3 linked regions of the Oreochromis niloticus genome follow. The protein of the gene in region 2 interacts with the protein of the main gene of each other region in a pairwise test. Links are inferred from orthologs where the notes say so. Each region holds a gene or a part of one and is shown on either strand. Other genes may lie near its edges.

Region 1 (10,602 bases), about 15 Mb from region 2:
TACATATGAACTACAACAGAGGAGCTGTAACAGCTGATCTCCTTCTTCTATGATGCAAATTTGATTAAAAAATTGCAAATAAGCAGAACAGGAGCCTGCTTTGCATGAATTAAAAGTTAATTACAGTCTTTAGATGAGAAGCAGGAAGCAAAAAAAATGAAACTAACAAACAGGCTCATATTTAATTTAAATGATAAATTTTGCCCTGAAGGAAATCGCTGAGCTGCTGAATGATGGAGACAGTCTGTGAATCTGAAAAAACATCCAGCTCTTAAATATTCATCATGGATTAGTCTCTGCATTATTCACTCCATTAATCAACTCGCTGTTTAGAAAACATGAGTTCCTGAGGTTGCCAAACAGAGACACAAGTCAGTGAAACTGGGACACAGGGCAAAGCAAAGGAAGCTCAGGTAATCAGTTATGAGCAAAGATGCTGATTAACTTTCTGAAGAGGTCAGACTACAGCAGAAATCACAATTATTACTTATTAAACTTAAGTCACTTATTGACAGCTTCAGTTTCAACAATGTATCTGTAAACATGAACGAATATTTCACTGGAAAAAAAACAAAACAAATCAAAAACAACAAAAATCGAACTGAACATGCTGAAGCCTGGTGTGGACTGAATTTTGAAAGGAACCGAAACAAAATATAAAACAATAATCGTTTAAACTCAATTATTGTCTTTTACTGATCAATGTCATTCAAAAATGTAACTGTAATTAAAATCTGATTTAACTGCACAGCCCCCGTCTGAGGTGTTGGGTACCTCGGGTCCCACTCATTCTTATGGTGGGTGAAGATCTCAGAGTAAACGAGACCCGTTCCACTGGCTGCCGATCTGCTGGACAGATCCTACACACACACACACACACACACACACACACACACACACAGAAAAAATAAACAAATAAAACTTCATTTTTGATCAAATATGATAATGTGCTGTTTCAGGATGCAAAAGTGCCCATGTCAGGTATACATCTAGCTTATGACTTGCAGAGACAGTCCTATTCACCCCCACCTATTACCACCTGACAGTCTCACAGCAGGTCACACCAAACAAACACTTTGTCTCTCACAGTTTCTGATGGAACCAGAGCAGACCCAGGACATGACATGAAGTCTCTCAGCTGGGCTGGGAACACCGTTCTGTCTCCTCATAAGAGCTTCTGGAGGCTTATATTATTTCATTACTTATCTCTACTTTATTATGTCCATCTTTAGGGTTTGGTTTAAAACCTTAAAACACCTTCACAGGTGTAACTGACACTGGTGGAAAGGTCAGAGATGGCCTGAGGATCCAGCACAGAGATCTCACCTCTGTTCCAAACACTGCAGATCCAAGGTGCATGCTAACCTTTTCAAATATTAAACAGAGTGCAAATCTCACCAGTGTCTTCAATTTGCCACTCAGCTCCTCTTCTTGCTCCTCTCTGGTCCTCTCCATCCTTCCTCTCCTCTTCAGCTCCTGCAGGCTGTTTCCTCCTTTGCTCTCCTGTGTTCCCTCACTGCTGCCGACCTGCAAACATAAACAGGAGCAGCTGAAGCCCACCTCTCTGCTGCGACTGAAGCAAATTGATACGCTGTAGGGTTAAATCACAAGCGCTCCAACGTGACGCAAAGAAACAGAAGAAGAAGAGTTCAAATAACTAAAAGAGGAAAAGCTGAAGAAGAAGAAAATAAAAGGGTCGGCTGTTTCTGTCTGGTGTTACGAAAGCAGACTGACAACAGATCCAAACACTCAGGTGTTCACATGAAACTGAGTGCAGAATCGAAGGAGAGGCACGACAATCTGAGATAAAAGTTCACCTCAGATAAATGAATGATTGCCTCGCCCACTTTTACTCGTCAATAATTCGAACTCAGCTAAAGCCAACCTGTAAACTTTAACACATTATAAATAGTAACACTGATAAAAACGAGTTAAATCGAGCTTATCACTTTAACCCTAAAGAGGAACTATACTACTCATTTCTAGCTCCGTATGGAGAAAGGAGGGTCGCCTGTCTAATCTACTGACTGTAACTGTTACAATATTATTCTTTCTCTTCATTTTAGCATTATTGAAACAAATAAAATGTGTTTTATGAGGAGTGACAGATGAGGATTGTCTCAATAAATGCAATTTTGTTCATACATTTTTTAAAATCCTTTCTGCATTAAAATGACTGAAAATCAGTCACTGACATGAGAACATTTTATAATATCTGCCACAGACAGAGAAAACAGTATAGGTGTTAGACATGAATAGATCCAAACTCACTCATTTAAGTCACTAAAATAACCCAGTCAAGTTAAAGCTGCAACTAACAAACCTTCACACTTTTAATACAACCCCCGATCTACATACTAAAGGCCATACTGATCAAACTATAAAGTTTGCTTACTTTGTTGTAGATTACTTTTTTTTTTTTTTAATATATATTTTTCTACCTTTTTCTGGCTTTATTGGGCAGATACAGTGAAGACTAACAGGAAAGCAGAGGGAAAAAGAGAGGGGGAGACGTGCTGCAAAGGGCAGGTTGGATTTGAACCCAGGCTGGCCGCTCTCAGACATGCGGCATACGGCATGTTGATCACTTTTTGCTAACTAGGAATCCGCAAAGAGTGACTGCAGAGTAAATGACTAATCTAATATTGAAAATGAATAATGGTAGCAACCAATGCTACCTCTCAGCCTCCTAGTAGATGCACCTACGGCATCAATTACAAAATCCTACTGTATGTCACCTTGTTTTCAAGTTATCGCGTCCATAGGATTTTGAGTAAACTTGACCTCTGACCTTGACTATGTGGTCGAGGTCACAAAGATTCAAACTTGTCTGAGATTTTTTGTAGATATACACATGGCATCAATTTGAAGCTCCTTCATTCTCGAGTTATCGCATTCACAAACTTGAGTATCCACATTGTGCGTCCACCTGGCAGGGTGATGACAACACCCCGTCAGCCTTTTATGGCTGAGCGGCAAAAAGGTTTAAAAGGAGGTGAAGGTTAAAACCAGGTGTATCACTGTGTCGGATGACTGACCTGAGGGGACAGACGAGGAGATCTTCTAACTGGCTTCGGTCCATGTCCTGGAGGATCTGACCCCGACTGCATCACTGATCCACGCAGATCGACCTGAATCAAAAATAACAAAGACACATGAAGAAGAACCTTCACACCTGCGAGCCACAACAAGCCTCGTTACAGAGGAGTCACGACTGTGTAATGTGTGAATGAGAATCCAAACTAATTAAATCCTTTAATTAACCTCAAATAGCACAGAACCAAGTATGCTGAAACTGAGAAGACTTTTTGTTTACTTAAATCTCTCTGCTCACTTTGAATTTGAGACTGAAGAGTTTCGTCACCTTTTTTTTTTTTTTTTTTTTTTTTAAACTACACTCTGTAAACATCTGGGAACTCAGGAGACCAGCTTTATAAGCCGGCCACTTTTCTGATTACTTAAAACTGTTTTCACCATAATTGCAAACAAGAAGGGGCTCAGAGCTGATCCCTGATGTAATCCCACTCTCACCTTGAACCCATCACTGTCACGCCACCCTCACATGCTTCCCCACTACTCCTGACTTCCTCTCTGGGTACCATGTAATAAACTTTCTCTAGATCCACGAAGACACAGTGAAGCTCCTTCTGATTTTCTCTATACTTCTCTATCAACACTCTCAAAGCAAACATCACATCTGCCAAGCTCTTTCTCAGCATGATCCATACTGCTGCTCCTTAACCTAACTTCAACAGCTCTTTCCCATATCTTTATTCTCACACTCATCAACTTTATCTATCTGTAGTTACTCAGCTCTGCACATCACCCTTGCTCTAGAAAATCTGTACCAGTACACTTCTTCTCCATTCCTCAAGCATCATCTCCTTCTCCAGGAGTGATTGTGTTATTTTCAAAGAATGTCTTCCTAGACATTCTTTGAAAAAGATACCAGTCTGCTTCTGTTTATGCAGGTTTTTGTCTCTCTAAGCTCTTCTCATCCCTTCAGCCTGCGCAGTGGTATCTTCTGATTTCAGAGTAGCTTTTCTTCTTCCTACTGTCGCCAAGTCCTGATCAATTCATTCATTGGTTTCTCTCTGTTATTATTGTTGACCTTAAAAAAATGACTACTACTGTAAGTTATGGATGCATATATAGTTGAACTGAACTATGTTTCTTGTTTTTCATATTTGTTTAGAATTATTTAATTATTATTTAATTATTTTAATTATTTAATATATTTTAATATATCTGTCACACCTTCAGCTCAGTTTCACGTTGATGCATAAATGCTTTTTCTAAGATCATGATCGTGGCCAGGACCGGGACCGGGGTCATCCTCTCTCGGTGTAAATAGTGAAGCAGCAGAGACTGTTAGCCTCCTGCTAGCTTGTTCTTAGTATGAAACACCCAGACTGAGCGGATAAACTGGGACTCACAGTCAGCCGAAAACATCCACACCCTGAAACCAGGTCAAAATCCGTCTGAAGACCCGCTGCAGCCTCCGGAACCGGGACGACCAGGAAGTGTACTGTTTGTTTCCGAGCCGCTGAGCGCCAACCGTACACCGCTACCGTCGGAGGCGTTTGACGTCACCGAGCAGCGTAGCCAGGGGTGTGGCGCGCGCCGGGACTTTTTTAATAATTTAAAACTAAAAAACGTTAGAGATCGATGTCGCGAGCTTTTCTCTTAATCTTTATAGAGTCATATGTGCTTAAAACAAATAGCGTCTTCAAAATGTAGGTTGTATTATTATGGTTGGGTTTTTGTTCTGTTGTTTTACAATTTTTTTTTCCTTTTTGCTGTTTAATTTTAATAATAATACTATGTCTTTCCTAATATTATACTATGGCCGTTTATTCACACTAAAAATGACAATGATGTATAGTTTTTTTTCCTTCTGCCTAATAACATAAAATAAAATAAAACTGAATTTAATTACAATCAATTCTAGATTTCATATCTTTCTCATGAATTCTCTGCTTTATGTTGCATGTATGAAATTTTACTGGTCTATTAAAAAAAGCATGTTGGGTAGCCAGTTTATTGTTGTGGTGCAGTTTAAAGTAAATTGGTGCAGCACTGGCATTCACTCGAAGAACAGAAAAGCTCAGAATCAGCACAAATAATGAGATATCAAACTTTATTGAAACATTTTTAACAAATAACAACATACTGATAACACTGAGGATAAAAACAGATATAAAAAAGGAGACACTGAGATCGAAATGAAGGGTTTCCTCTCAGAGGGAAATTAATGTCACACAGAAAAGTTTGACTTTCATCAATATACAAACAAGAGTTCTTTATCAGGACATTTCATTTTATTTATTTATTTAATTAATTTCACTTGACTTCAGCTCTTTGTGCTTAAAAGTAATTTCCCTATGCTTACCCCATTGACTGTTTATTCACTTAGACTGAAGCAAGAGTCAATCAAGTCACAGAATCCATCTTTTTATGGCTAGCATTTTTTTTTCTTCTATGCTTACTTTTTTTTGATGATCCCATGGGGGAAAGTTTAAACTGATATTTACACAATTTTTATTTAAACTGCAACAGGCTCACATTGTAAAAAGAAACAAGGAGGAATGACTTGTAACAAGATGACTTCGAGATTTATAAAATGTGTGCATCTTTAGTGAACATGTAGTGTTTCATCATCAACCTTAAGACATTTCCAAAGCACAGTCACATTTCAGATTGGTCGGATGTGGGTAGTGTAATACTTGTAGGTTAAACTGAATGAGAGCAGCTTTCCAGTAGGAGGAGGACACATGAGCACCTCTTTAGACATTATGGCTCATTCAGGATCAAATGTGATCATATTTGTGTGTCCAGTCATCCCCAACTTATTAAAACTAACAGTGAGGATACAACTGCCCACAAAGCTAAGCTGAGATCCAGCAGACATTGCAGTGTTACCTAAGCAGAAGGTTTATTTGAGTGTTCATCCATGGATTGTAAGAGCTCAGGTTTCCTACATTAGTAGTGTGAATATGAAATATAAAAACGGTTTGACTTCCTAAAATCAGATGAGGTCTGAGTTTGAATGAGGCTGGAGTCAGAATCAAATCTCTCTTGTTTTTTGTTCACTGGTGAATGAAACGTTGCTCTGACTCACCTTCCCACAAATTTCCACAATAAAATTGCAAACGAGCATTAAACTCATCCAGGAAAACGTCTGCCTGACGTCACCTGTCTACCTGTCCTTGGCAGAGCGCAGGTCGGTGGTGATTGGGTCATGCTGGATGGTCTGGTGCAACATCAGAGCCAATAAACCGGCTCGGTTGGTCATGGCGGTCCTCAGATTCCTCTCCTGCTCGAACAGCTCGTCCAGTTTATACCACTGACAGAGACAAAGAGAGAGTTAGAAACATCCAGGTGTGTCTTAATGTTAATGACGAGGCACTAAATAAAGTTTGTATGAATAGAGATACCACTCGGACTCTCTCCAGGTCGACTTCGGCGCGGCGAAGTTTCTCCCAGCAGTAATGCTTGTTGCACTTCCTCTTAGACACCCGACAGAACTCGCCGGTGGGCTCAAACACGTCTTTGACCAGAGGACATCCGCACACCTCGTCTGCTGGGACCTGCAACAGGGAGTCAATAACAAAGAGTCAGGAAAATGTCTGCCTGACTTTGAGTCCAGAGCCAGGACCAGACTCGGGATCAGCTAGTCCAGAGTCAGGATCAGCTAGCGTAGTCAGGACCGGTGAGTCCAGAGTCAGAACAAGAGTCAGGACTAGCTGATCCTGCACTCAGAGCAAGAGTCAGGATCAGCCAGTTCAGAATCAGAACCAGCCAGTCCAGAGCCAGAACAAGAGTCAGGACCACCTAGCCCAGAGTTAGGACCAGCTAGTCCAGTCAGGACCAACGATCCAGTCAGGATCAGCTAGTCCAGAGTCAGATCCAGACTCTGCCTGACTGTTTCCAGAGTCAGGACCAAAGACTCCAGAGTCTGGAAACAGTCAGGCCTGACTGCCTGACTCTGAGTCTCTGAGCCCAAAGTCAGGACCAGAGTCCAGGACCAGCTAGTCCTGACTTTGTACCCTTCTCCGGACTCTGAGTCCAGACTCAGGACCACATGCCACATTAAAACTTATGTATCATCCAAATTCTGATGTTAAGTCCTTTAAAGACTTGAGACAGTAAGTTAACGTGAACAGAAACATTTTTTAAATATCCACAGCTGATAAGTTTTGTAAGAGCACACCAACATAATATTTTAGAGCCCGACAGACATTTGCTAAAATAAAAATAAAAAGTTCTCCATTGAGTTTAAGCAAGCGAGGAAAAAAGCAGCGAATTAAAGCCTTGATCGAGTCATAAGTTGTTTTCTGTAGACATAAACAAACCTTTGGATCTCTGGAGTGTTCAGGACATAAAACCTGCAGCCGCTTACAGTACGTCTTACTTTGAGGATTGTAGACATCGCAGAATAACCTGGTGGCTCTGAGAGACACAGAGAGAGAGATGAGACACAAACAGAGAGACGGGTAAAGACAGGAGGGACGGACAGATGCACGGTCTTACCCCTCTATGCGTGTTGGATACATGGAACCAAACGATGTTTGACTCTCATACTGTCGGACAAAGAAACAGAAAGATCAGATTAAACAGTCTTCCTTTTAAATCAAGTTGATGACTACATTACCCACATTTTACCTCAGAACAGCTGACTGTCATGTTAGGGGATGTAAAACTAGTTGTTGTGCCATAACCACCATATGCCTGCTAATATTCTGACTTAATGTGCAGACTCAGACCAATGTTGTTAAATCAGGAGGACCTCAGGGGTGCTAGGTTACATCAATAATCTTTTAGGGAGAACTTATTATCCTCATTTATTATTAAACTCCAGAAGAGTAGCTCTTTTAAACAGAAGATTTGAACAGCAGCATTGGGTGAATTTGCTAAAGGTCATTTCACTGGCTTATTGTGGCCTTTGTTGCCACATTGCTGTTAGTACCTTCCTGTTTGATCACCTCATTAAGGCAGTTGTAATTCATAACCAGTTCAGACCCCAGGTGGACACACTTCCTGTTTCTTTAAGCTAACCTTAGCGTAGCATCGCTCCATATGACGCAGAGCCACCTTTGGATTGACGGGGTGACTGCAGGAAACACAGAAGATCTGAAAGTCTGTGTCGTCACCGTCACCCTCAGTCACCTGCAGAGACAAACAGAGACGCAGATGAGACCAACTAACAGCTGATCACACTAACAGCGGAGTGCACTGGGTGGCTGCGGTTGCCACATACCTCCTCGTGCTGCTGGACTTGCTGAAGTTTGGCGTTGGCGATGATGCCTTCTAGCTCATGGAAGCGTTTCTCCATCATCGTGAGACGCATCCTCGCCGCCTGCTGCTCTTTCCTGATCCGCTCCAGCTGTCTGCGTCCAATCTCCTCGGCAATGCAGGGACTCTGCTGCCACTGCTGGATCCTCTGAGGCAGGATCTCATAGATGCGACTGAGAGACAGAGACGAGGCGTCAAAGAACCAACAGATTTCAGAAACATGTACTGTTTTTGAGAAACCAATGTACACCAAGTTAACAGAGAATTTGATGTTTGCTTTCTGCATAAGTTTGAGGTCCTGGGTGAAACCCCAGAGTACACAGTAATAGGGTGTACACGGCACCTAATTCACGGCACTAGAAGTGCTGGCACAAATCATATTTTGCTATCATCTCGGGCGGTCATGCACAATTTTGGTGGTTTTTACCGCCAATCTTTTTTACCTCAGTGCAGAAGCACAGAGTATCAGATTATACAGCGAGGAGATGCTGCAACAGCTTCATGAGACTCTGGAGAAAACCTTGGAGAAAAAAATCTTGGCAGTTTCTTCCCTTTTGGTTCAACTTCTCCTCTTCATCAGTGATGATGCAGAGGTTTTCTCTGAGTGGCAACACCTATCGTTTACTGCAGCGGTATATGTGATGATATCACCACCAAAACCAAAGCGGTGAGCAAAACATGCTCTTAAATAGTCCGATCTATGCTAAGCAGCTGAGCTGGATGCTGTTTGGAATTGTGTGAGAAGAATGGGAAGCCAGTCAAATTCACATTAGGCAAGTCCTCTCACCTTCTCAGAGCTGCTGCACAGCAAAGTGACTGAACAGAAAAAAAACAATCAATGACAGCAATGAACATGTTTCACCTCTGGAAAGATGACCAAAGGAGTTTTGTATTTCAGAAATAACCTGCAACATTGTGTTTGGAGCAAATAGTATGCACTTCTTTTTTCACGTGTAAAAAGGTTTAATGGACTCAACGGTCCAATTAGATACGGTAAGTGACTTCGCCGTTATAACTTGTGTCTAAAAGGAATCTTGATACAAACTTTCTAAATTCAGCAGTTCTAAAATTCTCTGGCGGGGTCGCCGTGTCAGCCCGTGTTGTGTTCACATGAACATTTAGATGATCTCAGACTCACTTGGCGGCGAGCTTCATGCCGCACTCCTCAGAGCAGTATTTGGAGTTGGCCCTCGCCGGCTCGATGCATCCTGGACCCAGACACTGCCTCAAACCTCCGCTTACTTCTTTGACTCCACCCTCTCCTGCTCGCTCACTGTGCCGCACACGCTCTCTGTGACGCTGCTTCACTTTGTGGCGTCGAGGCTTCACCTCCTCTTTCGGAACAGACACGGACTTCTGCAGGTGGACAGGTATGTTAGTGACATCATCAGTGACATCTGTGGTCAGGTGATCTAACCGCCCTCACCTTCTTCTCTGGTTTCTTCTCGTGTCTCTTCACGTGTTTCACCTTCACCGCCTTCTTCCTCAGAGAGTCGGACTGAGCATCATCCTCTTCACTGTGCCACACCTGCAACACGAAGATGTGTCACGCACACAGGAAGTGCCTGTCTGGCAGCTGATTGGTTGGAAACACCTGCACACACTGACCAGGTCTCTGTATCCGGCAGCTTTGTATTGCTCGTACAGCTCCAGCTCGCTCTCACTGAAACCCTCCTCCTCGTCATCTTCCTCCTCCTCAGTGTGATGCCCTGGCCCTTTTCTCGACAGGCTCCGCCCCCTGGCCCCGCTGCGACTCATCTCCTCATCCTTGACCCGAAGCATCTTCTGCTCAGAGAACATATGCAGAGTAAACAGCATCATTAGTACAGCAATAATGAACATCTCTCGCCAATCTTTAACAATCAGGACGAGTTAGCAGTTCACCATCAATTTGAATCCCTTGTTAAAGGTGACCCATTATGCCTTTCTTTCATATATACCTGTATTTATAAAGTATTTTCTAATCTTACTGACTACTCAAAGCCCAGGAATCACTTGCCAACCAGTCCAGGAATACACATTTTTCCTTTGCTATCAGTGCTTGTATCCAGTCCAACATGTTGGACCACTCACAAGCATTATATGCATGATGTCACGTGAGAAACATCTAAAAAAAAAAAAAAAAAAAAAAAAAGTATGGAGCAGGAACCAACCAGCCCCCAGTCCAAAAAGCCCCATCGCTACGGTAACCAGAGACAAAGATCCAGAACTTTAACCTCGCAGTTATAATCGATACATTTTACACTGATGTCAATATGTAACTCTTTTCGTCTTACTGACCAATCAAAGCACTTTAATGCTTTACTT
Region 2 (10,774 bases):
AGGTCTGGTAGAGATCATTTAAATTGTCACTGCTTTGGCACCAAGGTCCAGAAGATGACTCAAACTGTCACTTCAATTCTGCCAAGAAGAATTATGCCAGAAACTTGCTGATGGTTACCAAAAGCATCCTGATGAGGTGATTGATAGACAATGTGCTGAAGGACCATCCATCCATCCATCCATCCATCTCTTCCACTTATCTAATTCAGAGTCACAGGGGGGCTGGAGTGCATCCCAGTTGCCACAGGGCAGACACAGGGTACACTCTGGACAGGCTGCTAATCTGACTCAGGGCTAACACAGAGACACAAACAAGCATTCAAACTCACCCCTACAGGTAATTTAGAATCACCAATCAACCTAACCCCACTAACTGCATGTCTTTGGACTGTGGGAGAAAGCCGGAGAGCCATGCAAATACACCAAGAACATTCAAACTCCACACAGAAAGGTCCCGGTCAATTCAAAGGAATCATTTAAAGCCCAGACTTCCCATGACATTCATGCCCATGTTGAGTGGATGTTGAGGGGTAGCAGCAGTGCTGTAAGACTGTTAAAATGCTGTAGATTGAGATGAGTGATGTTTAAGATTATATAGGAATAAAAGTCAAAAACCAAATACGAAATTAGGTTCATGTTTTGTGTAATATTAGGTTGAATCAAGTTTGAATAAAGAGAGCACTTGAGGAACAGAGTAAGTTAGAGCCGTAGTAGGGAGAAGGTGTTTTCTATCCTTTACAGGAGAAGATTTCCACAAGAGAAGGACCCAGAAAAGGGACAGACCACTAGAGATTCACAAGTGTAAGGGGTCTCTCACCGGGTATGATTGGGTTCAGGGGTGAGGGAGGAGTGCTGATTGAGCTCTGCTCGCACTCTTATTCTCTCCTGCCCCTGATCAACTTTAGGCTCACTGATACTTTGGTGTGATTAACCTCAAGCATGAGTGTTCTCAAGTGGGAGCGGGCATTTTATTATTAAGACCACCTAGATGACATGGGGTTGTCTGGTTTGCTAAGTCACAGGATGCCAAGAGAGGGTCAGTGATCCTAAAGTCCACGACGTCAGGGGTGGACAGGGAAGCAGCTGAATGGGACAAGGAGTGATGCACCTGAAAGTATGGTGACCTCTGGTCAGCCAGAGGTCAAAAGGGGGAATGAGGGGTCCGACAAAATGCTTTTGCCATTATGTAATCTGTAGCTTCCACATAGTATGCTGATCAGTGTAATTTTCAATGATCAAACTGTAATAGAGACGAGCAAACATATTGGCAGAGCTGAGAAGGAGAAGCCTGTGTTATGAAAATGATTTTAATCTTTTATACATGATTGCATTTGAGCATATTAAAGAGCTGTGGCTCCTGGTCACGTGAAGGTCAGAAGTGTAACGGGTGAGATGTGAGAGCATTTAAGGGCGAGACACACATACAGACACAAATAGTGAGAGGTCATGACACGTACACAGTACACAGCACGCACGCGCCCCCGCACGTGCACACATACACACCATAATAGATCTATTTTGGTAGGGCAGAAGTGAAGATGTATTTTTGCTGCAAATGCAGAATTGTGCCGACGTACTTAGAGGAAGTGCAACAGATGTCCCAGGAGATAAGCGACAGCGAAGACGAGCTGAGGGGAAGCACCGACCCGAAGACAATGTACTTTAAACTATGTTAAAGTTCACGGAACATTTTGTGGTTTAGGCTGACGTATGCTGTATTAAATCTGCCTACCAACAGAAAAGGGGGCTGTACTATCTTAACCCTATAAAACTGTTGTCTGAATATGGTAAAGACAGTTCAATACTGATTGGGTTGTTGAACTCACACATGTGTTTATTAAAATACTGTCTAATTGCACACTGGACCGGATCTGTGGTTATTTATGGATTCCTCTCTCAACAATGAACCTTAACAATGTAAACTTCTGACCACAGCTGTATTTGATGGCAGGGACTTCCAGTAGGACCAGGCTTGATCTGAGATGTTGAGTTTAATTGCTCCATTTTATGTAATGCACCACTCCCCACTGTTACAAACGCCTTGGGTTTCAGAAAGCATTTTCTTTTACAGAACAAACATTGAACGTTTTCTTTCTCTAATATCTGTTTTTCTGTTGTTCTTCTAACCCGTCAGGTTTGCGAGTCCCAGCTGTTGTAGGCCGTTGGAGCCGTCCTTGGGGTAGTTGAGGAAGATCGATAGAGCAAAACGTCTTTCATACAGGCTGTTTCCTCTGATGACGCGCAGTTGGCCCAGAGGAATCTCTTGAAAGTGGTTCATAGCAATGAGGACATAGCCAGTCACCTCACGGATTCTCTAGAGTGAAGAAGACCATTAATATAAGAGGCAATATAAGAGGCTACTTCTACAATATACTCTCCACTTTTTAACGCTTTTTTTCAAATTTACCGACTGGAGGCCTGGAGAGTAAGGAAACATGACATTTACCTTGAGGAAGGAGAAGTCCCAGTTACTCTCAATCTGTGTGATCTCCAGGTTTCCCATTACAATCTCACAGCCATAATACCGGTTTCTAATCAGATTGTACTGGTTCTCCTGAGAGCCCGTGGAACTGAGTCCATTCTGCGTCCCTGGACACACTTCTAACACAGATAGGGAATAAAGATGAAAATGAACGTAAATAACACTGGGAAACTGAGTACTGTGGGCTGTGTTGTGTCTGTGGTATTTATAGGGTTGGTGACTCTCCCTGATGCTGTGTTCATGCCTGTGCTGGCTACAGATTTTGATGTGAAGCAGAGAGAAACAGGCAGGCTGTTACCCGCTTACATGGAGCAGTACAGGCCTGGGGCTGATGAAGAGGAGGCCAGGGGGGTCAGAAGAGAGAGTGACTTTTTTTTTCTTTTTTTTCCCCCTCAGACAAAGTGCTTCATTGTTGTAAAGCTATAAATGTGGACAGTGTGTCTCAGTGAGTGATGAGTGCTGCAGTGACAGACAGTGCTTCTGTGTATGCGTGTGCATGTGCGTCTGCAAGCCACGCATTGCTGAGATCATACCAAAAGACAATGGGCCGTGTGTGAATGGGACTCTCTGGCAGAGGGAAGGGAAATATCGTGAACGGAAGGTGACATACACACCATCTCTGAGTGCCCAGCAAGAAAACTGAGGAACTGGTCCTTTAATGTGCAAACGTTAGCCACCTGCAGCACTCACTCAACACAAGTCACATCTCTTGTCTTCGTTATGAACACATAACACACAGCTATAGGCCCCTGAAGACTGCTGCATAATAACAATGGAAAGTTACATGCTGACAAAGGACTGTTGCCTAATGCACACTTATATTCATACATGGCTCTTTTAAGCAAACACTGGCCCTGAATCATTCAGCTAATCTGGGAGGACTCAATAATATTCAACTCATACTTAGGATACTCAAAAACAGGCATTAGTACTTAAATTATTTGTTAATGTTTTGTATTTATAAAAACATTCATAAAACATTCATGAAAGGGCTCAGTGATCGGAAATTAGTAAATAAACAAAAGGTCCTGACAGGAAAGAAAAACAGTGTGATTGTTTGACAGCTATCTCAAAGGGAGATCTGAATGTTAGCAAAGACACATTAATGTCGTTGTAACTGCAGATAACCACATTAAATTTTATTAGAAAGAATTTAGTGACAGCGTGACAATCAGTTAATGGTAAATAGAGGTTCTTAAAGTGAATCTTTGCTGTTCTCTGCAGATTTTTACAGTGCAGTGCAAGGGCCTGGATAAGACCCTAATCATAACAATAAAAAAGCTTTTAAGGAAGAGTGGTGAGCTGTGAAGCAAACAATGGCATGGTGAGGTTTATCACTTTATACTACGAAAGCTTTAAGTGCATACAGTTAATTCTATTCTATTGCTAGAATTTGTCTGGTAATTGAGGTATTATCTAAATTTCACGAGATTCAAACTTAATGAAGACAGGATTTCAGATGTAGAATCACGTATATCCTCACCTTCATGCGTTTGAGATGATGTTCGAAGTCTCCAAGACAAAATCACTCCCAGTAAAATGACTCGCCACTGCTCCATGCTGATGTCCAGCCTGTTCACGGAGATCTATGCATATCACAGGGGTTTAGGTAGTCCTCCGAAGAGCCAATATGTATTGCAGGGAAAACTTTGACTAAAGAATATACAGTAGGGGGTGTAAAAGTTAAGAGTTAAGTCTCTATGAAAGGGAAAATCCGATCAAATCATGAGTCAAAGTGAAGGACAAGTGCAACTCCTTCAAAACACCTAATAAGACCGCAAACATCCCTCAGACTACTTGAAAAACTGAGAACAAGTTGTAGTTTATTGTGATGAGGGAATTTCCCTCCCAGATGGGGACGTGTGATTGGCCGATATCCCGACCAATCAGTGGTTTGTCCGTCATTTCGAGCTGAAGCCTCGGTTGTTACGCTAAAGCAAAGAATTTTGCTAAATTTATGAAGCCCTCGAGAAACGACTGACATAATACTGCTGACAGAAAGCTTAAAAAATTACAAACACGCGTGGCTAAAACACTATAATAACAAAAAAGCTAAATGACACACGAGTCACTGAGACAGACTCGGTTGACTAACAAGGACAGGTCGTTCAGTGTAGCATTTAACTGATTTTGGATGTGAATCTTTGCCGTGTGCAGCAGTGTGAACACCAGTTATTTTTGTTTCATGCTGTCAGCAGTGGAAGCAGCGTTTCGGTCCCCCCACCCAGTAAGAGCCCAGCGCTCTGAGTGGCCGCACTGTTTCCCCCCGTAAAGAGCAGTATTGTCCCCGCAGCCCTGTCAACTGGTTAATCACCTCTTTGATGCGTATGGAGCAGCCTGCCACAATGGCCACATTGTCAGACAGTCAAGTGACTTCTGAACCCAAAACAAGAACATGCTTAATTTGAGAAAATGGCCTCGGAGCAGACAAGATTCCTGAACACGGAGCTGCGGGTGAAAACGGGCCACTAATGGATGGAAATCATTAACCGCTTCTGACAGATGTACTGTTAATCTTATTTTTGAATGCGGCAGGGAGGGGAGAGCCGAACAATCCACAGTTTGTTTGCAAGCATCCATGTGCAGGAAATGGGAAGAATGGTGAGATTGAGATGAACTTGGATTTTAATGTTCGTCTCAACAACCTGATGGTAAAAGACGCCAAGAAATAACACCACAGCGCGGTTTATGTGTACAGTAATTAATGTCTTTGTTGTTCATCTGCCTGGACTTTAAAGCAGGAGTCTCAAATGCCCTACTCCAGCCTCTTTTTCTGTCCAGCAGGAGGAGCCAGAGTCTGACACTTAGGCGTCCTATTTCACAGCTGCTGCAGGGCCCTGTGGTGGGTAGACTCAGCGTTTGCACATGGATGGCTATTTTTACACTGTTTATTGGACATTTGATCCAATCTCTAATTTCTTATAATAAAATAATCAGCCTTTAATCCAGTCAGTCACTGAATAGTGGAAAACTTTGTGGGGAAAAAAACACCATTGCCCCAAAAATGTTGGAAGAAATCTTGAAGACTGAGTCAGTTGTTTTGTTTCATAAACAGCAGTCAGTGTGAAACTTTCCTGTTGCTGAGTAAAACGGTGAAAAGTGTAAGATTGTCACCAGATGCACTTTTTTTGTGCGTGTGTTCATTTTTCACATGAGAGTTTCTCTGTTTGTCCCGTCAAGATAGCTTTGATAGCAGCCTATAGTATTTACAGAGCTTGGCACTTTCACAACGCCACCATGGTGTCAAGTCTCTGTGTCAGCCCTGGTGGCCCTGTCCCTTCCAAGGGGAACTGTGAGGGGTGCCTGCTGTGGCCTTTTGGAGTTGCCACTCCCTTCAGAGATTGATGAATTGATTGTGGGGCTGCTGCCAGTGTGTCTGTGCCCTGGGCGAAGGTGTCCCGGTTACGAGTGGGAATCCCAGCTATGGCATCCGCCCTGGGGCCACTATTGTAGCGGTCCTGCAGGGGGCCAAGGGGGCTGGTGGCCCCGGGAGCAGCTCCGACTCACATACTGCTGTCACACCCTTGGAGACACAGCAGCACTCTCCCCTACATGGACCTCTGATTGGCTCAGACAAAATGACTCTCTGTGAAGTGCAGCAATTCCACAGGCAAACTACCTGATTGTGCCAAACTTCTCTTGATAACAGCAGTTAATAAAGGACAAAAGAAAGGCTGTGTAGAGCCAAATCCCACAGTTGTGTAATATGTGCTGTTAGTCTGATTTTAGTCTTAGCTGATGACTGGTACGGTAAACAGTTTACTGAGTTAAAACTGTTCTCGATCAACTCCCACTTCATTAAAAAAAACCCAGTCTAACTCACATTTAGATTTTTGACCTTTATTGTGCAGAGTGATACATGCGTCATAAGGGACGTCAAAGCTGTTTCCTATTAATCTGCTGAAAAGAACGTCCTTCTGGACTCACCTTAAATCAAAGTTCAACATGTGTAGGCATAAGAGGATATTGTGACATCACAACCAGTTTGGAGGCCAGATGTGGCCGCAACTTAAAACCTCCGGTGCACACATGAAATCAATTGAACATATATGTGTTGAGGCAACAGTTAAGAGTTTTTAAATATTTTACTGTTTATTATGGATTCATCAATGAAGGAGAAGTACAGTAAGGTCAATAATGTGTTGTGCAAAGACAGAGTTTTTGTAGTGTTGCCTCTGTACACCGCCACAGCAGATTTTAAATCAAACAGTCATGATGTGACTGACATGCACACACGCCTGCTCTTAAAGTGTGGTCTTGATCTGGTTAGATGCTGTGAAGCCGTTTTTCTTAACCATGGAAATAATTCTGTCATCATGCACTCCATTTGTCTTCGCTGGTCTTCCAGGCCTGTTGGGAGCTGCTGACTTGATCACTGCATTTATACTTCTTAAGAATGTTGCTTCAGCCATTCCTAATTATTTCATTATTGCTCTTATTTATTTGGGTTTTTCAAGCTAACTTGTCTCCCTCACTTGAAATGACATCTCTTATGAGCCTCATGTTTTAAAAATAACAATAAAAACTATAAAATAAAAATTCTACACTTTGAATCAACCTCAGACATTGTGTGTTTAATTTGTCCTTTGACTCAAAAATGACTGTACAGAAGCAAAACTACAAAAACAGTGTCTCTGTCCAACAAATTGAGGACCAAACTGTTTCAAGAAACCTAGCAGGGATCTTAAAAGGACACATCACCTCCAAATCAAATACAGTAGTTTGTGTGAGAACTGCCTTCGTTCTACCACACTGCACTCACCACCCACATCAAACATAGTGTTTTGGTGCTTTGAGCACCACAAGTATACTCTGTAGCTTCCTTTTATTCAAGCAGACAAACATCTTCAAAACTGGGCAACTTATCCAAGAACAATGATTGACAAATAATGACTCGCACATTTGATTCTGGGGCGAACTGTCAACTTGAAATTGAGTTTGAGCCACAGACAAGAGAAGATAAAGACAGCACGCTCGTAATCGTGCTGGGGTTTTCAAACCAACACGTGCGACGATAAACGATAGCAAGGAAAAAAATGAGCAAGGCAAAGCAAATGTATACTCTGGTCTTTTTATTTATTGATGTAGTCTCAGGAATAATTAAATCATTCAACACTTTTGCACCTGCTTAGGTTTTTCTGATTTTCTGTCTTAAATTTCCCCCTCTTCATATTATACTCTGTTTCTCTCTGAGAGCAAATCGCCAGCTGGAATGTCGTGCAGCCTCATTTAATATTTTTCTTTATTTGAAAGTTAAAATCTGAAAATAGTCACTGAAAGAGGGAGGGATGTTTAGCCACATCGGAACTGCTAGTGCATCGGTGTCACAGATCATAGGTGAGATACTTGAATGCTGGATATTTCTTACATATAAACCTGTTATCAAAGAGAAATGAAACCACTGGCTAAATAAGGCCACGAAAACAATTTTCACACCAAACCGAACGGAATATAATGCACGTCACACACGCACACACAAGCTGCTGTCAGTTATCTGCCAACACGCTGACCCCATTATCTACAGGTGTATCAACAGCGCTTTTGGTTTCACCCCGAAAACCACGGTTCCACTTTCCCGGTTACATCAACATATATACAGTTGCGCCAACATAGAAAAGCATGCTTTTGCATATTAGAAGGTTGTTCGGTAAACTTTACACTAAATCCATAACATTTATTAGTACAGCATTGTTCCAACCAGCAGCAATGATTAAGACTAACAAATATAGTCTGAGGAAACAGGCTATTATAATTCGCTTTTATTACAGATCTTGTACAGTATTAACATGCCTTACGATGCAGTATTACTATCATCCTCTCTCCTTATTTTATTATTTTTTTTGTGAACAAACTCCCCCCCAAAAAACCCCAAAACAAAAAAAATGCAACAGTCTGACCTAATTAGCTAATTAAGGAAAAAATAACTCAACAAAATAAAGAAACACCCCATTTAAAAAAAACAGACAACACCTTCTGTACAACAACAGTGAGTCTAGAGTAATTTTGTGCAACATGAAATAGCGAGACACGCATAATGTCATGCCAGTTAAGGGTGGATAAATCCGCATGAGAAGCGATGCTGCACAAACGGATTGAAAAATAAAAACAAAAATTTAAAACTATGTAAGCTCTCTTAATATTGCCAGTCACATGCTGTGCTGCATCACTCTCCACAGGGCAGGCCAATAGCAGCATTTTATTTTTCTGAGCCACAGAGCTGGTACAGAGTGCCTGTTCTGTCATCTGTATCACTTTAGATATCACACCTCGCTGATGCCAGACAAACTGTTTTAACCCCGTTTGTGCCAGGCAACTCAACTAGAACAAATCTTTATTTACAGCAGCGGCCTGTTACAAGCCCACGAGCCAGTACTGGGATATCTCCATGCAGATTGGGAAGCAGTAATGTACAGTGATACTGGGGTTTCTTGTCTTTTTCTTTTTTTTAACTAGCTGCCTTTAGCAGTAAATGCACATTAGAATAAAGGGAAAGAAACTATATGACGCAAAAAAAAAAAGTCAATAAATATTAATATTAAATATATTGTTTCAGACTGTCCAGAAAGTTGACACATTTTGTTTAATTCAGCATAAATAAAACTAAATCATAGCTAAAAGTTTTGATCTATGAAGAGCATAATTTGGTTGCAGTATGGACAGTTATATTACATTTATCTGTACGAGTATAATAGTAATAGTACTCCCACTATAATATTATGACATTCTTTGTAATTTACACCAGGTCTGTAGTTTCTGAGGGAAGGCTGCTCTGCCATCACGATTTGAGATCCATCACAATTGCTGAGCTAATTAAATGTTGGTGGAGGTCTGCAAAGTAGAGCAAATCCATATACCTTTACAGTAATATTATACAGTACATAATTATTTGTTTATAGATTGTAAAAAACTTAGATAAAGTTTGCTTGTAAATGATTAAAAATGCTCACCACAGATTCAAACAAATCAAATTAATCAAAGAACGGAAAAAAAATAAAGAAGTATTTCGAGGGTGGATGGTGGGGAGGAGATGGTGGGAGGGGAGAAAGCCACTGAGAGTCACCCCCTGGGAGCTTTTCAGCATTTTTCCTCTCTATGTAAACACAATGGAACCCCTATAACCACAACCTGGAGCTGGCACCCAGGCTCTTCCCCACTTTACTGACCCGGCCCTTCACTTTTTGTTCTTCAGCTGATTGGCCAGCCAGTCCAGACCCTCGTACAGGCCGTCCCCACTGGTGGCACAGGTGGCTTGAATGTACCAGTTGCGGTGACGTAAGGAGTGCAGGCCCAGCTTGTCTGTGATCTCTGCGGCGTTCATGGCATTGGGCAGGTCCTGAACAAAATCACAGAGGACAAAGTGTCCGTCAGGAAGTTGGTGAGGCAAGAGGCGTAAAAGCAGGGGGAAACGTAATGTGGCGCATACCTGTTTGTTGGCAAAGACTAGAAGAACAGCATCCCTCAGCTCGTCTTCAGCCAGCATCCGCATCAGCTCCTCTCGAGCTTCGTTGACCCGCTCGCGGTCATTGCTGTCCACCACAAAGATCAAACCTGCAGGAATAAGTTTAAACCGAACAAAAACAATCAGGTCACATCACATTGTTAGAAAAGCATATTGCCAAAGCATGTTTAATGGTTGTCCGGGATTTGAACATGACTAAGATGATGATAATTTGAAACAGCTGGAGCCTGTATGCAAATGACATCATCTGAAGGATTAGTCAGATTTTGTCCTCAGGTGCTGGGGGCGAGCGTGTGCTCCAGGATCTGCAACAGGACTGGAGAGGCCTTTTTAAAAAAAAAAACTCTAACCATGCCGGCTGGTCTTTCACCTAAGATGCTTTTGATGCATCTCACCCTGGGTGTTCTGGAAGTAGTGTCTCCAAAGAGGACGGATCTTGTCCTGGCCACCCACGTCCCACACAGTGAAGCTGATGTTCTTGTATTCCACTGTCTCTACATTGAAACCTGGGGTGGATGGGACAACAAGCAAATAGAAAATGGGTCACATAATCTGGACAATCTCTAAGACGCAGGGTTTTTTTTTATTTAGAGGCAGACAGTCACACACCAATTGTGGGGATGGTAGTGACGATCTCCCCCAGCTTCAACTTGTACAGGATGGTGGTTTTCCCTGCAGCGTCCAGCCCCACCATGAGAATCCTCATCTCCTTCTTGCCTATCAGGCTCTTCAACAGGTTCCCAAAGATGTTTCCCATGATGACTCGGGAGGAGAGGAGGTGGGGGCACAACTGCAACAAAACTGTTACACGGGCTGCTTTGTTGCTATACATA
Region 3 (10,607 bases), on a different chromosome or scaffold from region 2:
TCCCCCACTGGTTTCTGTTTGAGGCGCCCCAGAAAAACCACCACTCTCAGCTTCAGGCAAGGAGGATAGCTTTAACAAGTTAACTCAATTTAACAGTCAGCTGCTGATAGGATCCACGCAGGGTGAGATTAGCTCGTCAAATGCAGACCACAGGCTTAACACAGTGAACTATTACTAATGTCTTACAGCTCTCTCTCCTGACTCGATGACATGAAAGGTACAGTGTGTGATATAATGGCCAATCTACCTTTAGAAGTCAGCATCACCTTACTAAACTACTGTACTGTTGTTTTGTGTGGGAAAATGACATGATGATAATATTAGGCTGATAGGAAATGCAGCATGGTAGCAGTGTAGCTTGCTGTAGAGGTGTTGTACCATGCTGAGGAGCTGATGAGGGGAAATTAAGGTAAAAAGTAAAAGCCTGAATGGGATATTAGCACATGACAATATCCCACTGCTGCATCCTGTCTTTCGATGGACACAACTAAAGTAGTGGAGTTAGGAAACAAAAACTTAACCCAACAACTATACTGTAATGCAACATATTTAGGGGGAGCATGGAAGTCATCAACTTCAAAGCTAACTCAATAAAGGAAACACCTTAGTGCTGCTGAATTAATCTTCTGAACTGACATGGCTGCATTACCACCTCAAAAGTAACCATTGGCCATATTTCTTTCCCAAAGTATTCACTTTTCTTTTTAATTTTATTTGTGTTCAGATTTAAATTCCTATCCTCTACCTGGAGAAATTTGCTATATGTTGTATGAACTAAGTAAAATCCATTCTAATAGAATAGAATAGAATAGAATAGAATAGAATAGAATGCCTTTATCGTAACTATACGGTTGTACAATGAGATCTGAGATCTGAAGACTGACAGTAGTTCCAGGGCATCATGAATTGAACTTTTGCAAATTATGTTCATGTTTGGAAAGGAAGATTATTCAGGGTATGCCAACAATTTGTGACTGATAAGTTGTTAAATGTTTGTCACTGTCAGATTTACCAAAATATCAAGATGGCAATGGCAAATAGTTGAAGCTTGAGGCATCATAATTTAACTTCACTAATCAGTGGGTAACTTCAAGAAAGCTATGACCTCCTTAGATCACAATACCAAAAACAAATTATAAGACACATATAGCTAGTCAATATTAAAAAAAAAACTGAGCTGTGACTGTTATAGTTTAAGTCTACAATTGAGTCCATCTCTGAAGAGAAAATCCACAACATACAGACATGTAAATGCTCAGTTTCTACTAATGTGCTTATATGAATCATCTTTTTGCTAGTACCCATTAGCCACATCCACATTTAATGATTTTATAAAGAAGGCAGTGAACAGCTGGTATAACACACTGTTCTCAGTTATGATTAAAAAGAAAAAACAACTTTACCTCAACCTTGACTTTTTTTTTTTAAACAAATTTGACAACTGGAACACACAGATCCCCCTCTCTTTGATGACTCATCTTTGAAGCTGTCAATTTCCCAGAACAAGTGTTCTTTGAACAGATGATGGGGATGTCAGTCCAGACCAAAGAGGTTGAAAGTACATGTGTCATGTCATACTGGACTGCAAGTGGTTTCTCTGCAATATACTGTGCTGTGAAAAAGTGTTTGCCCCCCCCTCTTCCTGATTTCTTATTTTTGCATTTTTGTCTCACACGTTTCAGATCATCAAACTTATAATATCAGACAAAGATAACCCGGTTAAATACAATGATGATTCTATTTATTAAGGGAAAAAAAAATACTGAGACCTACCTGACCCTTTCTATGTGTGAAAGTAATTGCCCCCTAAACCTATTAGCTGGTTGTGCCAGCATTGGCACCAATAACTGGCAATGAGGCTTTTGCTGTGGAGGAATTTTGTCCCACTCTTCTTTGCAGAATTGTTTTAATTCAGCAACACCAGAGGGATTCAAGTCTGGGCTTTAGCTAGGCGACATCAAAACCTATATTTTCTCTGGGTTTTTTGAGACGTTCAGAGGTGGACTTGCTGGTGTGTTTTGGATCATTGTCCACATCCTGAAGCAACAAACAACCCCAGAAGTCGTTTTCTTATTGTTGAATCATGATCTCTGACTTTACAGAGTGAGTAAAGTGAGCTGCAATTCTGTTCTGGGTTATTTTGTGACGACCTTGATGAGACACTGATGTGCACTTGGAGTAATTTTGGTCGAAAGCCACTGGGAATCTTCACCACTGTTTAAAGTTTTCTCCATTTGTGGATAATGGCTGCTAGGTTCCCAAAGTTTTAGAAAGGGCTTTGAAGCACTTTCCAGACTGACAGATGCCAGTGAGTTTGTTTTTCTGCTGTTTATTGAGTTTCTTTAGATCGTACCATGATGTGTTGCCTTTTGAGCTCTTTTAGCCTACTTCACTTTGTCAGACAGGTTCTATTTAAGTGGTTTCTTGATTCAACAGGTCTGGCAGTAATCAGGCCTAGGTGTGGCTATTTGAAATTGAACTCAGCTTTCCCAAAAAAAAAAATTGGTTAATCACAGTTACCTTATAATCACTTATTTTTTCCACCAGGTATGCCAGGTATGTTTTGTTAGTTTTTAAAAAAAAACAAAAAAACATAATAATTTATTTTAAAAGTAATATATTTCCTCAGGTTAGCTTTGGCTAATATTAAAATTTGTCTCATGATCTGAAACATGTAAATGTGAAAAATGGGTTAAAAAAAATTAAGAAATCAGAAAGGGAGCAAATACTTTTGCATTGCACGGTATATATATGTACCTCTGTTTTCTCATCATTTCTCAACTCTCAGAAGTGGCGAAATGATGAGGGACTATAAACAAGTATAAACGAGTATTTAAGCATGCACTAAAACCACTTTCAGTTCCTTTGGGATACATTATAAAAGCACGTGCACAGCATTTACATAACCCCACAAGCTGATTCAAGAATCTTAAACAATACTATCACCCTGTTCTGAGACATAAGCACAAACACAAATTAATCTGTCAGCTATTCAAGGCTTGCCACTACATCTGCGTGTGAACCCTTTCAGTTCACACTAAGACAACCACATGGGTATAGATAAAGGCCTTCGGACAAGCCCATGCACCCAGTGCAGTCATAGGCTAAAAGAGCATGGCTATTGCAGGAGTTCACATCAAGGTGCCAACACAAACATGCCACTGATGCTGCTGCCATTTCTGGAATACACCGTCACACAAACACACTGCCACACACACCAACAACCCAATAAAAGTACCCACAACAAGGCAATAAAACAAGTTAATCCCTGTACTGGAGCTTCATAGGAGCAAATGGGAATCGAAAACATGGACGAGCTTAAAATAAAGCTAGACTCTACTTTACTAACTAATTGTTAGTAAACAATACGTCTAAAACAAAAGCTAGCTTTATGCTAATCAGCAACCAGAATAAGCTACACATTAAAACCAGTTCCACGTAACTCGCACCTGTTGCAAATACTCATGAATCAGATTAAAAATAAATTTACTGGAGAAAAACTGTCGACACATGCCATAAGCAAATAAAGACAAACCAAACCTTCTCGGATCACATGGATAGACCCATGGATAATCATTAATCCGCCAGCAGCGTGACGCTGATAACCCATTTGAATATTGACAAGTGCGTGAAACGCTACAATTAATGTGAAAATCACCTGAATGGAGCTCGGGCGTGTTAGTAAGTGTAGCTACACCGGCGTCAACGACAACATCGTACTCTCTGTCCCAATAAATACATATAAATAACAGTACTTTGAGATCCTGAAGTAAAATCAAGCCAATTCTCGATTCTCTTTACCTAAAACAGAGGCCACTTACACTGCTAGCTAACCAGCTAGCGAAGTTCACAGTTGTCAAAGTGTTTGTCTAACGTTACACGTTAGCGGGTCGCTAGCCAGTGTAGATTCGTTGCTCATTCCGAGTACCAAGTGTTACTTACTGCGTATGAAAGGAATCTCTCTCACTCTCACTCTCCCTCTATCAGCCCCTCTTCTCGTGATCACGGTAGATATGCTAAGACACCCAGCCTTGTTGTGATAGGCTTAGCAGTCCTTAATATTAGCCACTTTCGCTTCTCGGCCCCTGTTCGTCAGTTAGCTTTGAGTAAGCTAGCCAGCGTTTCACACGACCAGTTCTCCTTTCAACATGTCTCTGCATCGACGTAAGGCTTTTACATACATGTTTGGCACTGTAAAACCAGGGAGCGCCAAATATATCGCTCTTACTTAGGCTGTCGGTTCAAAAGAAAATACGCTTGGTTCGGCAGGATTTATCTATAATTGAACACCTAGCTAATTTTTGCTAAAGCTAAATGTAAAAAGGTAGATGACGTTCTTTTTCAGCATCCAGTTTTTGGGAGGGGCAAGACTATCGCTCTCTTCTGTGATTGGATAAAAACTGATTCGAAGCTGAGATACGATTGGTCAACTAATGTACCAGTCAATTTGTTTCTCTAAAAACATAAACTGTGAAAATCCAGCTGTTTTCTTTTATTTGCCTTTGGTGAGATTATGTGATTTATAATTTCTCCTCCGTTCATATGCTGTTTTCAGAAGAGAGGTGCCTGCGTGCCATAAATAGCACAGTTGGGAAGTAATTAATAAAAACAGTGCAACACCCCATTTAGTTGTTGCCAGTTCCATTGCCAAATGGGGACAAATGGAGTAAAGAGAATTAATCCTTTAGTTACAATATTGATGGGACTTACAGAGCTGTGGAAAGTATCAGTGTTACCAGTTACCTAATCACAGCCACAGGTCAAGCAACACATGGCACTCCCCAAAGGCTGTGCCCACCCCTAGCAGGACAGTGCACAACACCGCCCTGCAAAAAGCACTAGGTTCTGACCTGCATACAAACTACCAAGATTGCAAGTCTATGGAGGCTTCTCCTCACCATGCACAAGAACTAAAGGATCTAAACATCCAGTTGCCAAACAGAACACCCATGGGATCTGGAGTCCATACACTAACTGATCCAAACTCTTTTGGCAACATACAGGACATCTTTACGGCATTAGACATGTGGCTTTAATATTGTGGCCAAGTGAGACATTGGTAATTGCACCTTGAGGAAATCTAGGAAGAAATGGACTGAAGGTTGTCTTTTAGAACCATAACTCAAATGTGTGAGGCAAAATGGTTACCTAGACTATGGAAATTTACATTCTAAGTAGTAAATTCAGTCATTTGTTACCCACTGTGCTATGGATCACATAGTGAAAGTTTTTTAAATCCACTGCAAATTAATATCACAGCAACTTTTTGGGTTGCTAAGTTGTAAAAACTATCTTCCAGTTATCTTCCATGTAAAAAATTATCAGTCTTCAGATTGACGATTCCTCCAAGCCATTAAGTAAATATTAGTAAGAAATTTCCATAAGCAAACATTAGTTACCTCCAGACCTAATGTTCTGAAAACATTAAAGGCAATCAATTCATCAAGCCATGGTTATTAATATTAATAAGCTAGATATAATCATAGACATTATAATATATTATTTGCTTAAGTAAGTAAAGTTTATTTCCCAATAACAAACAGTGAGCAAAGTGTCATGATAGAGGAGGAATTTCTACAATATGGCAACCAAAAAGCTGTTACTACTTACTTAGAGCCACCCATGTTATTCTGCGTATCCAATTCAGGGTTGCAGGATGGGGCTGGAGCCTAATCCTGTTGTCATACAGGGTACACCTTGGACCGTGGCAGGACTAACACAGAGTAATTACTTATAATTCATCTATAAAATATTTGTAAATGAATCAGTCATAAACAAATGACTGTCACTTTGTAGATGTTGCCCCAACGTAAAGTGTAACCACTTTATTTACATACTGTGTAAATAACCATATTCACATATGAAGCTTCTCTTCAACTAAAATAAATGTAAGACCACAGGTAACTACATGATAGCATGATAGAGTGAAAGTTGTTAATATATGTTAATATGCTATAATATTGATCTATATGCATTGGCGATAATACAGAGTGAAGGTTAACTTTCAGCCTAATTAAATAATAAGTTGAACTTTATTTGTTGAAACAAAATTGCATCCATTATCACGCCCAGTGATTCAAGCGACTAGTTTACCGTGCCTGTGATGGGCGGATGTGTTTTAGGGCGTGCTTGCTGACGAGCCTCAGCCCATTGGGCCCAGCTCTATGAGCCCAAACAGGCATGGTGGCTGTGGAGGGTCTTATTAATTTAAATAAATTGCTGAGTTGCTCTTAGAAGATATTGTTGAGGCAGTGGTGCTTTTATGATGACCTGCAATTAAATTAGTTTGTTCTTATTTAATGTGGAGGTGAATTTAACATTCATTTTCAAATGAAAACATAAACACTCCTTCCTCTCTTTCGCAGTATATACTGTGCTCAACATGACGTCATCACGTTGGTGCCTTTCTGTCTCTCTGTGCATTTCTAAGTTATTGGGAACACTTAAAGTATCCCATCAATAATATATATGACAATTTAGTGTGTATGTCAGAGATTTCCCACTGGCAGCAAAAGTTTTTCCTGTAGTTTATGCAAAATTTTAGAGCAAGTTTAAAATATGCATGTAAGGAAAGCTGGTTTTTCTTTAAGGTACTCTGTACTGTGTTACTTATAAACTCAGAATAGGTATACCATCACTAGTCTTCCACAAAAAAAGAAGACAAACAACATGTTTCCAAACAATGTAATCTTATCTTATAAAACAAATTAGTTAAAGAAAATTTGTGCGTAAACAGGACCTTAATCTATCCGAGAGTGATAAGAGGTCTGTTTATTATGTGAAATAATTGTTCATAAGATTTGTAGCAATTTTTTTCAACACAATCCAAATGGAGTAATTTTATTATTATTATTTAATGTTTTCTTGATTCTGCATTATTTAATGTGTTTAAGCTTGTTATTTCATTTCATTTCATTCTGGTTGCGTAAAAATAATAAAGTCAATTAATTAGTTTTAACCAGAAAATTTTACAGTTCAGTTTGGATTTGCAGCCTTATTGGCAAATCTTGTGTTATATCACATCTATTATACAGTGCATTGTACAGTGCATAAGCTGTTAGCTATCCAGCTGCTTATATGTAAATACAAACCCAATTCCAAAAAAGCCTGGAATGACATGTAAAATGTCAATAAAAACAAAATTTAGTGATTTTCAAATCTCATAACTCCACATTTTATTCACAGTAGAACACATAAAGCACATCAAATGTTTAAACTGATATACTTTTTTGATTTCATGGAAAACATTGGCATGTTTTGAATTTGATGGAAGCAACAAATCTCAAAAAAGTTGGGATGAGGGCAGGAGGTGGCTGGAAAAAAATGCTGGAAAACTAAGTGGAGGAACTGAAGAAGAAACATTTCGCAACTATTTACGTTAAGTGGGAACACATGTAAGTAATCACAAGTAATACCAGTAATATCTGTTTTTTAAAATTGGATATCTCAAAAAAGAGCATCACAAAGAGGCAGAATTTCTCAGAAGTAAAGATGGTCAGAGGGTAACAAGTCTGCAAAAAACTGAGTGTATACATTTCTGGAGAATTTCTGAATAATGTCCCTCAATATAAAAGGGACAAGACCAAAAATCAATATTAGATGTTCATGTTCTTCAGGCAGTCAGGCAGCACTGCATTAAGAACAAGCATGGAAATCACAGCATGGGCTCAGTAACACTTCCTCCAATCAAGGTCATTGAATGCAGTTCGTCTTGCCATCTATCAAGCAAAGAAGAAGCCATGGGTGACCATGATCCTGCAATCCTGGCATTTTCTCCAGATCAAGGGGCATTCAAATGTTCTGAGGCACAATGGAAAAGTGTTCTGTGGTCAGACAAATCAAAATTTAAATTCTTTTTTGGAAAACATGGACACATCCTCCAGACTAAAGAGGACAGGAACCATCTGGCTTTTTATTAGTGCTCACTTAAAAAGCCCCCACCCCCAATTCTGCAATCCAGGTCCTGAATTGGCCTGCAGACAGTTCAGACTTTTCATCGATTAAAAACATTTAATGCATCATGATAGTATGAATACAATAAAAATATGATGAAGAAGACTCATGACTACTAGTCCCTTATGAGACCAGAATGGGACAACATTCCTCTCCTTTCAGTTCCCAGATGTTTACAGTCTGCTGTTAACAGAAGCCCATGTTTACCACGGCTACACAGTAGTAAACATAGTCTTGCCCCAACTTTTTTGAGACATGTTACTACCAAATTCAAAATGAGTTAATGTCTTTCTTAGAATGGTACATTTTCTCAGCTTAAACATTTGATACTTTTTCTATTGTGATACGATTCTATTGTGAATAACATTTGAGGTTCGCAAATTATTGTATGTTGTTTTTTATTTAGATTTTACACAGCAACCCAAAATATTGGAATTCAGGTTATATTTTGCACATATCATCCTTCCATCCATCCATCCATCCATCCATCCATCGGGGGTTTAGGTTGAAGGAGGCCACAAGCTGGAGGGTCTTCTTTTCTTTTTTTAATACTGAATCTTCTTTATCATATTTTTTCAGCATGGATCGATTCAGTGCGAGTTAGCTGAGATAACATTGAGTTAAGTGCTGCTTGCATGTATATTGTGAAGGAAAAGAAAACAACTAGCTTTGGCCTTCACTGCTTTCTCTCACCTTGTATGAAATCACCCCATGTGCGATCCTCTCTGCAGAGTGCAGCAATCACGCCTTGCCTTGCTCACCACTCTTCAAACACAAGAGCACTTGAAAAGCTGATTTCCTGCTCCTCAGAGGGAACAGGTTTCTTTTGTCAACCGAGGAGCCAGGTCAAAACAATAATTGCTGGCAAATTGTGCCTGAAAATATACAACGCTCATTTGATTTACATGTCATTTTCATGACTCTCCGCTCCAGTTCTCCTTAACAGCTTGCAATGTTACATTAGGGCCTTATCAAATGTTTATAAGGGCAATCAATTTCTTTTCCTGGATGCACTGTATCAAGTGTCTGGGTTTGTTTGTGTGAGAGAAAAAGAATATACACTGCAACCACACACTCGCCCATACATATTAATGCATGTTATGTGAGGGGTCAAGCTGTTCCCCCTGCTTAATGGGATTATAGACATTAACAAACTCTTTACTAAATGAGAGAGGACCTTTTTCTTTCTCTTTGTCTCTCATTCCCGCTCTATACCATTTCACTCTGTCCTCTCTTTCTCTCTCTCTGATCCCTAATCAGGAAGTAGGCCTAGAAGTGCCTTGGGGCTGAATACGAACGAGCGCAGCTGCCCGGTGCGGATTACTACTACCACACACAGGCTTAACCTCGATGTATAAATTCACACACGCATGCCCGTGTAGTGAAAACAGTGTTCATATGTCATTCGCAAGCATGCCCAGCACTTGCTGACATATGTGTTTTTCAAGCATATGTCATACTGTGAAAGTATCTCACACATGCACGGGAAAGATACACACAGAAACTATTTTGATCACATGCCGATAACGTCCAGTAGCAGACACATGCTTGGACACACCCACAGGTTTTAGTGTATCACAGGAACATGTCCATTCATAGCTTGTATAGTAGTGTTAGAGGGCATGTGCTGCAGCCATATGTTGCCATTAATCATTTGAATCAGCCTTCTTTAAGAAAGATAGAAAGAAAGAAAGGGAACAGCTTAGTTAAATGTCAGCATGATAAAAGTTGGTAAACGTATAAGCAGTACTGGACTGTTGCACCTATAGAAAAAAAATAGTAGGCTAGGAGTTTTTTATGTCTTGTAATATATTTATTCTCATATGAAGTACTCATACCACGTGTCCTTATGTGTTTTTTGTGCAAGACACAAGAGAGCTTGTTCAGTTATTTATTTATTTAGTTACATTGTATTTTTTCCATAGGTTAAATGTCTAAAATTCATGCATTTCATACCCCAGTATCCCTATACATTTGTAATATGTAAATAGGTTCATATTTAAGTGTTCAATTTACTCTGTTGTGGAAAACATGGTCCCTGTGTCTTTCTCCAGTTGATTTTGAATATTTTAATTTATGACCTGGGAGATTTCATGTGTTAAAGACTGAGCAGCTATAGCAAAGTGAAATGGCATTAACACCATGCTCAGTGGCAAATCAAAAGCTTGTTCTACAGGAACATTAAGCCACAGATTTACTACCCTGCACAGGTTTAACCTGCCAGTCTGGAACTGAAGCGGAAACCTGCAAACATCAAACTATACTGACCTACAGATCCTCACAATACAGAATCTTCAGTATTTAACTCTACAGAGGTTGACCTGAGTTTGTAAATTAGACCTCTGGGTGAGTTTACTTTCTGTGCTGGGTCATGGATGAAAGAGTGTTATGGAAGTATCACACCTCCATCTAGTGGGAAAAAGAGGTACGGCTAGCGAATACATGCACGAAGGGGTCGAAACGGCACGTTTGGGTTGTGATATAAAATTGATGGTCTCAAAATCTTCTAAAAGGTTGAATGCTCAATCAGTTTCTTGTGCTAAATACCAGGAGAGGCAGGTGGGCATGAATTAAAGAAACTTACTCTAGGGTATGTCTGCACATCATCCTGCCCACCAAAATATTTATGGGCAGCATTAAAATGTATTTTTTCC

Evidence for each region.
Region 1: the proteins of erbb3b (region 2) and hdac6 interact in a protein complementation assay, tested with the Homo sapiens proteins (2 studies listed by BioGRID and IntAct, with this or other methods). The link is inferred for Oreochromis niloticus from reciprocal best matches to the Homo sapiens genes ERBB3 and HDAC6.
Region 3: the proteins of erbb3b (region 2) and ppm1ba interact in a two-hybrid assay, tested with the Homo sapiens proteins (2 studies listed by BioGRID and IntAct, with this or other methods). The link is inferred for Oreochromis niloticus from reciprocal best matches to the Homo sapiens genes ERBB3 and PPM1B.

What each region holds. Positions count from the first base shown.
Region 1 is NC_031984.2:4,904,647-4,915,248, forward strand, and holds the start of hdac6 (histone deacetylase 6), read right to left. Parts: upstream 4,390-10,602; 5' UTR 4,336-4,389; coding exon 4,258-4,335; intron 3,132-4,257; coding exon 3,039-3,131; intron 1,528-3,038; coding exon 1,399-1,527; intron 861-1,398; coding exon 775-860; intron 1-774. Other genes in the region: cxxc1a (CXXC-type zinc finger protein 1a), read right to left, coding at 6,200-6,346, 6,438-6,590, 7,356-7,452, 7,534-7,583, 8,059-8,169, 8,261-8,468, 9,434-9,651, 9,722-9,823 and 1 more.
Region 2 is NC_031984.2:19,602,448-19,613,221, forward strand, and holds the start of erbb3b (receptor tyrosine-protein kinase erbB-3b), read right to left. Parts: upstream 4,577-10,774; 5' UTR 4,042-4,576; coding exon 3,966-4,041; intron 2,602-3,965; coding exon 2,447-2,601; intron 2,315-2,446; coding exon 2,128-2,314; intron 1-2,127. Other genes in the region: arf3a (ADP-ribosylation factor 3a), read right to left, coding at 9,654-9,815, 9,906-10,030, 10,337-10,447, 10,551-10,765. UniProt on the Homo sapiens protein: Tyrosine-protein kinase that plays an essential role as cell surface receptor for neuregulins.
Region 3 is NC_031978.2:11,092,688-11,103,294, forward strand, and holds the start of ppm1ba (protein phosphatase 1B), read right to left. Parts: upstream 4,375-10,607; 5' UTR 4,229-4,374; exon of another isoform or gene 3,943-4,228; intron 3,933-3,942; exon of another isoform or gene 3,802-3,932; intron 1-3,801.